Oryzias latipes: one gene and its partner. The protein of the gene in region 1 interacts with the protein of each later gene in a pairwise test. Links are inferred from orthologs where the notes say so. Each region holds a gene or a part of one and is shown on either strand. Other genes may lie near its edges.

The links.
Region 2: the proteins of bag6 (region 1) and atxn2 interact in binary tests that used the Homo sapiens proteins (3 or more experiments, as listed by UniProt). The link is inferred for Oryzias latipes from reciprocal best matches to the Homo sapiens genes BAG6 and ATXN2.

Annotation. Positions count from the first base shown.
Region 1 is NC_019874.2:28,120,249-28,124,002, reverse strand, and holds the start of bag6 (large proline-rich protein BAG6), read right to left. Parts: upstream 2,674-3,754; 5' UTR 2,549-2,673; intron 1,791-2,548; exon of another isoform or gene 1,789-1,790; 5' UTR 1,782-1,788; coding exon 1,701-1,781; intron 1,616-1,700; coding exon 1,498-1,615; intron 1,258-1,497; coding exon 1,043-1,257; intron 1-1,042. Other genes in the region: glrx3 (glutaredoxin-3), read left to right, coding at 2,725-3,705. UniProt on the Homo sapiens protein: ATP-independent molecular chaperone preventing the aggregation of misfolded and hydrophobic patches-containing proteins.
Region 2 is NC_019867.2:7,491,033-7,494,686, reverse strand, and holds part of atxn2 (ataxin-2), read left to right. Parts: coding exon 1-105; intron 106-260; coding exon 261-352; intron 353-481; coding exon 482-670; intron 671-1,476; coding exon 1,477-1,649; intron 1,650-1,990; coding exon 1,991-2,239; intron 2,240-3,654. UniProt on the Homo sapiens protein: Involved in EGFR trafficking, acting as negative regulator of endocytic EGFR internalization at the plasma membrane.

The sequences.
Region 1 (3,754 bases):
TTCAAGCAATCACAAAGTGGACTAAGAGTCATAATTGCAATTGTTATTATTTATTATTTTACTTTCTCCCTCTTTGAGACCTAATTAGACCCCTAATATGCATGAAAATCCGCAAAACTGATTCAAAAATTTGTCATAAAAAGTAAACGATTTGTTCTCTTCCAACAAAAAAAACTAAGTAAAATTGGGCCAGTAAAACCTTTTTTTTATATATATATATCCCCTAAGAAAGAGCCATCCAGTAAAAATCATTAAATTTCTTTATGCTCCATCTTCACTGATGTCATGGACCATGGAATGTAGAGGAGCGGGTGGGGTTTTACTGTGGCACCATTTTCAGATGGGGCTGCAGAGTTAGAGGATGAGCATCACGCCTTAATCCTGTTCTGTTGCAGCACAGGCCGAGGAGAAGCTGCTGGGGGCAGCAGACAGACCTGGGGGGCTGTTGATGGGCCCATGGTGCAGGGTGGCAATGGTCATTCAACAGTCGTTGCAGCTTTAAATGTATTTGTTTTTAGGATAATTTAGCAAACCCATCAAGATGACATGAACAGAGTTCATATGCCGGAGTCTCTAAAGTCCATCTTTGTCCATTTTCCCTTTAACATCTCCACACAATATGATCGGACATAGTGGAAAATGCTGAGATGAAAACAATGCAGAGATCACACAGAACAATTCACTTGTGCTCTGCGTGATAAACCGACTACATCTAGATGGTTTTAAAATCTGAAATCAATCCCTGTGGTTTTATTTTCACTTTGAACGAACCCATCTGACTTTCATGTCATTTTGATCCAGAAGACTTGGTCCTTTTAAGAAAAATTTCCTGCAGGTTTGTGATCAAAGGTTGTTAACAAAAGCAGACAGCCTCATGGCAGATTGAAGGCAGCCGTTTAGAAAAGTAATGTTTCAACTTGACTGAACTCAGATCTTCATGCCGAAACACAGAGTTTAGTTGCCCTGAGCAACTGGAATCTCGTCATCTGTTGAGCAGTGCTGCCTTCATCCCTGACAACGCACACCAACAATGCAGACCTACCTGTATCTGCTGGGGGTCCATGATATTGACGGGGAGGTTGAAGGTTCCAAGCATGACATAGCTGTTGGCATTGCGATCGTGTGGAGGCACCTGCGATGCTCCCTGGGAGGATGAAGACTGCCCGCTGTCGGCTGCGGTGGCCCCTGACCCCGAGCCAGGCTGGGAGGGTGGAGGGGGGGCCCGCTCCACAAGGTGAATCACCTTTCCAGCCACATCTACAAGAGTAGCGGAGAATATGGTCAGCTAAAACAGAAGCAGTGGCAAATCAGCAGAAAGAGCAGATGGAACCAAAAACTAATTCAATGACAGAATTTTTACTTAAAAGAAATAGTTTTGAAATGCTCCTTGGTGGTGTGATTGAAAGGAGGCAGAAGGGATGTTCAGATGGAGAGACTCCCTGAAGCAACAAGCTGAAAGGTTAAGAGGAGGAAGATTTAATATATCCTTTGACTAACTGTAGTCTGCCAGCGTCCTTTCATCCTGCAGTACTCTGCCCTGGTAGATGAGCCTCTGTTTGTCCACAGGGATGCCCACTGAAGGAGAAATGTGCTCTTTGAACTCTTTAACTGTCAGCTGCAAAACAATGGATCATTTCAGTCAGATCATAAAAGACAAAAGGAAACTACCCAAATATTTACAGCAGGAACTTTCCATTTACCTGAGCACCGACTGAGTAGGTTCTGCTCTGAGAGTCCAGAGTTTTGACCGTCACTTCTATGTCTGAGGTTTGTTCATCCATAGCGTTCCTGCAATTGTATTACATCTTCAATTACAAATTATTCTGTTTATGTGACTTTTTAAAGTGTTTGTACACTTTTACAAAAATTTTGATAAGCACCAGGTTATTTAACAATCTGTTCAACAAGCATGGTGCGTCCACGGCATGTTTATAAGTTTATGAAGAACAGTGAGCGTAGTTTCCAATTTTTCAGCAATCATCTAGATCACCTCTTCTTTTTAACAAACAGGCAACGTTGAAGTGAATTTATTAACCAGCCTTTAGTCTAGAAAATAAAATCTCTAACTAAGGAATCCGGATAACTACAATCAGCTGAATTATTTAGCTCTAATTTAAAATACATTATTAACTGAGCTATTTCCTAAACAAGAATTTTAATAAACATACAATTAACGTAAAATAGCATCTATATCTTTATGTTAGACTCAGTGGGTTAAATTTGATTTAATGCTTTGTTTTTTTCCCAAAGACGGACTCCCTGTACTAGCGTTAGCCAAAAACAGTTAGCCCGGCTGTATTCGCTAAACAAGGACAGGAGCGATGTAATATTAAACTAAGATTTAGGACAGACAGTATAACAAAAGATAGAAAGTAACATATCGCCACTTGCTCTTCAGCAGGATTACTTTTTTTAGGAACCAAATAAACGCCGACTGGCTAATTAGCCAAACAGATTAGCTAAAGATGCTAACTGATCTGTCGTGTCGCTACTAATGCTTAAGCGCAGAACATTCCGTTTTTTATGCGTCACACCGTCAAACGCTTACCTTTTAAATCATACAATGTTTTTTAACGTATCCAGAGTCCACAGGAGGCTCTTATATTCAGAAAGCCGAGCACTTCTCCGGTGCGTCGCGGCTATGCTACAGCTAACAGCTTTTAGGGCTGAACGGATGTGACGTCAGAAAGCCGCCGGACTGCTGTCGAGGTCAAAGAAGCAAAGATGGCGAATGTGCTAGAGGCGACGAGCCGACAACAGTTCGAGGATTTCCTTGCAAAAGCTGGAAAAAACCTCGCGGTTGTACATTTCCAGGCGGCATGGGCTCCTCAGTGCGGCGACATGAACGAAGTGATGGCCGAGCTGGCCAAGGCACACGCGCACGCGACGTTTGTGAAGCTGGAGGCGGAGGCTGTTCCCGATGTGTCGGAAAAGTATGACATATCCTCCGTCCCCACTTTTATCTTCTTCAAGGGGGGTGAGAAGGTGGATCGTCTGGACGGGGCGCACGCTGCGGAGCTGACTAAGAAGGTCCAGGGCCTGGCGGGTAGCGGGCCCGCCCCAGGAGGAGCCGCGGACGGCGGCGCCGCGGACTTGAACCAGCGGCTGAAGAAGCTGATCAACGCGGCGCCCTGCGTGCTGTTCATGAAGGGCTCCCCGCAGGAGCCCCGCTGCGGCTTCAGCCGCCAGATGGTGGCGCTGCTCAAGGAGCACAGCGTCCAGTTCAGCACCTTTGACATCCTGTCAGACGAAGAGGTCCGTCAGGGCCTGAAGGCGTACTCCAACTGGCCCACCTACCCCCAGCTGTACGTGAACGGAGAGCTGCTGGGGGGGCTGGACATCGTGAAGGAGCTGGCCGAGTCCGGGGAGCTGGAGACCACCTGCCCAAAGGCCGTGACCCTGGAGCACCGCCTGAAGGCCATCATCAACCAGAGCCCCGTCATGCTGTTCATGAAGGGCAACAAGGAGGCGGCGCGCTGTGGCTTCAGCAGGCAGATCCTGGAGGTCCTGAACTCCACGGGGGTGGACTTTGACACCTTTGACATCCTGTCGGACGAAGAGGTCCGTCAGGGCCTGAAGGCGTACTCCAACTGGCCCACCTATCCCCAGCTCTACGTGAAAGGGGAGCTGATCGGGGGCCTGGACATAGTGAAGGAGCTGAAGGAGAGTGGGGAGCTGGAGTCGGTACTGAGGGGGGAGTCGTAGATGGACGGGGAACAGGACATCACTGCACAGGCCTGCACCAGCTGCTGCA
Region 2 (3,654 bases), on another chromosome or scaffold:
GTCACTGGAAGGATCAATGGAGAGCACAAAGAGAAGGACCTGGAGCCCTGGGATGGAGGTGATGGTCACAATTCGGACAGCCTCGAGTCTCTAGATACAGATGTGGTGAGAAAATGAACACAAGCATGACAGTAATGTTGATGCCTCCCATGTGGTACATCAAAAGTTATTATTTTAGCCACAATATTGACAAAAACACATCAGAGTTTTAGCAATTTATTTAGACCTTTCTGTGAAATTCTACTTTCTCCTCAAACCAGTCAAACGGATGGGATCCCAATGATATGTTCAAGTACAACGAGGAGAAGTATGGAGTCTTGTCCACGTATGACAGCAGCCTGTCCACATATACGTAAGCTCTGACCTGCTTCTTCATCTACATATTGCTAACACAAGGCGGGGAACACTGGAAACGCATGCTAGATAAGCCTGGCTGTCAACATTGTGCACCGTTCTCGACCAATTCGATCTTGTTTCCCAGACTCCCCTTGGAGCGTGACAACTCTGAAGAGTTCCTGAAGAGAGAAGCTCGTGCTGCTCAGCTGGCAGAGGAGATTGAGGCCAGCGCCTCGTACAAGGCCCGCGTGGCGTTGGAGAACGATGAACGCACTGAGGAGGAAAAGTACACTGCTGTGGTGCGAGGGGACAGGGAGACTCACACACTTGGCAGGTGAGAGCAAGACGCACGCCACAAACCATCATCATGTACAGATCTCTGCGTTGAGGTTTAGTAGGGGGTTAATAGCATGTTGGGATTTTATTATGTTAATCTTCTTCAGTAGTTCTATACTTCAAGTTCCATTGAAATTCAACAGTAGATTAAAAAAAAAGTACAATAGTTTTTAGTTCTTTTTATCTTTTTTTTACCCTTGCAGGAACAGTTTCTCAAAGTGAACTATGTGAGGTTGTGCAACTAGACCTGCCTGTTATCTAAATCTACACGCACTTCCATAAAGCTGTGTAGGCCCTGAATACATTGTTAGGAGGAAAAGTTCCTAAAAATTAAACTACACTGAACTGAACCAAGTCGTAATGAATCTGTTCCTTCACAGACAGGACTTCCAGCAGCTGCTTGTTGAACCACAAGTAATTAAAAAAATATGTGTGTGTGTATATATATCTATGGAGTTTCGTGTGCTTCTAGTTCAAAATAAAGTAAATACAGTTTTCTTTTTTCCTGAATATAAAAATAGCTGACCTGTTTTATAGTTTTGGTTTAGTTTTGGTTTAGTTTTCATATTTTTTGGGTTGTAATTAATACTTATATTTGTTTTCTGTTGTTTGTGCTAAAATGTAAAACAATTTAAAACACACTTTAAAATTTTAAATCAGTTTTTGTCAAAGTTATCTTTAAGATAGTTCACAACGCTGTAATTTTAAAACGGCTCTCTGTGTGCAGCTGAGAGGGTACTGCAGATCAACGCTTCTCCTGTTTATCTGAAACCTCTTGTTTTGTCTTTTTGTATCTAAATGCAGAGAGAACAAGTACGTTCCACCAGGTCAGAGGAACAGGGAGCCATTGTCATGGAGCACAGGGCGACAGAACTCTCCTCGTCTGGGTCAAGGTTCTGTTGGACCTTCAGCTCCTCGGCCGGGACCCCACGACTACAGTCCCAACTCTGGGACAGACCAGAGAGTGGTCAACGGAGGTATGTTTATTGCAGAACTTGCAGTTCAGGGGTTACTTTTTACACTATTAAAAAAAAAAACCTCTTAGTTGATGCTAAAAATGTTTTCTATGGAGTGACGTAAATGTGGCCACCTCTTATTTATTACATTGTCATTTTTCTATCCTTTTTTGTGTAGCCTTTGAAGAATAACAGTTATTATTTCAGATCTTTAATGTTTTAAGAAAAAACATTTCATGTTATTCTGCTTTAGTTGTGCCAACCCTCCCTTTTTCTATTACTGCTATACCTTTTTTGTTTCTTTCTCCGCCTCCACTTTTGCTAGTTCGTCATCCTTGATCATTTGTCCTTGCCTCTTTTAGGTTCATCCCATTGGCCCTCACCCTGTCCGTCTCCTTCCTCTCGTCCCCCCTCTCGTTACCAGTCTGGCCCCTCCTCTCTGCCTCCTCGGGCGACCACGCCCACAAGACCACCCTCCAGACCCCCCTCTCGACCTTCCAGGCCTTCCTCTCATTCGTCCCATCCCTCCTATTCTTCCTCTTCATCCTCCTTTTCTCACCATGGGCCCACGTCGCCAGCCTCCACTCTGCCCAAACGCATGTCTTCAGAAGGTATCCACATGATTGTGGAGCAGACCTGGGCAAAGACTCCATGAAAGTTGAGGGATTGAAGTTGTCACGCTCTAAAAAAACAACAGAACGGTTACAAAAAGGAATAAATACAGTGGAAAAACTACTTTCATAAACACATTTGCCCAGGTCTAATGTCAAACAGAAGTGGTGAAATTGCTTTCTCAGACTGATTTGGGGTCAGATTTTTGACAGATTAACCCAAAAAAAAGTGTTTACCTGTGTTTGCTTTACGCCCTACCGAATGAATCCAATTGGAAGTGCTTAAGGCTGACCCTTTGTCAGTCATACAGGCAGTTTCATCTTGGCATGTGGGTGCATCAAGGTGTTGTGCTGTTTCTGTGCTTTCTGCCTAACAAAGGTGCAAAATGCAAAGTCACCAGTTTCTCACCTTGTTTGCAGCAAAGCAGGGCTCACTTATCAGACTTTTAATCGATAAAACCCACTACTGTACAGCCTCGTGAGGTTGTCAGTGAGATATTTAACACTAAAATGATACTTTCAGAAGTTTGAAAGTCCATTATTAGTAGTTTTTGTTTACTTTGTTTCTGCATTTGCAGGTCACTGGATTGAAAATGTCTATGAAGATGGAAATTTAATAAGCTTTGGCATTACATTTTTATATTTAAAAAATATTTTTTCCATTCCCCCCCCCCCCCCCCCCCCCCCCCCCCCAAAAATGTCTCTACAAGACCATCACTAGCTACTCATTTGCACTCCTGGCGTACATTGGAAATGTGTCTGACTGTCAGACTAGTCAAAGTCAACATGTTCTTCTCAGACCTCAATATAGTTTTGGTTTGATCCAAATTTAACACTCTGTCGCACTTTTAAACTTTTCTTACCATCTTGGATCCAGTTTTTGAAAGATGTTCATAACCTTGAGAAGGAACCTCAATTGTCATTTATTTTACTAATAAATGGCCGATTTTCTATGTTTTCTTGAAAGCTGTGGAATAAGTCAGCAGGATACAGGCAGTAACTCACCATGGAAACCGAAGTAAACTGGGAAATATTTCAGTCCTTACATTGGTTCCACAGATGTAATCTGGTAACAGGACAGTGTTTGGACCAAATGACCTTGAGCAGCTGCATCTCATAATCACTGTTTAGAAATGGTGGGATGAATAATTTAGAGCTTGATGCTTCTAACTTCATAAATAATACATACAAATTTAAAAGAATACACAAAAGGCAATGGAGAACATGCACTCGATACAACAATGTATAACAGTTTAGACTTTCGTTTATTTGATACTGAATCCTGTGAGCTAAATAAAAAGATTTAAGTATAAAATTTGCCCCATTCTTAAAGCATTACTGTCTTTTTCTTTTTTTAGTCCAATATTTTGTCTCACTTTTTTTCCCCATTTTCTGTGTCTGTCCTCCTTTGATTT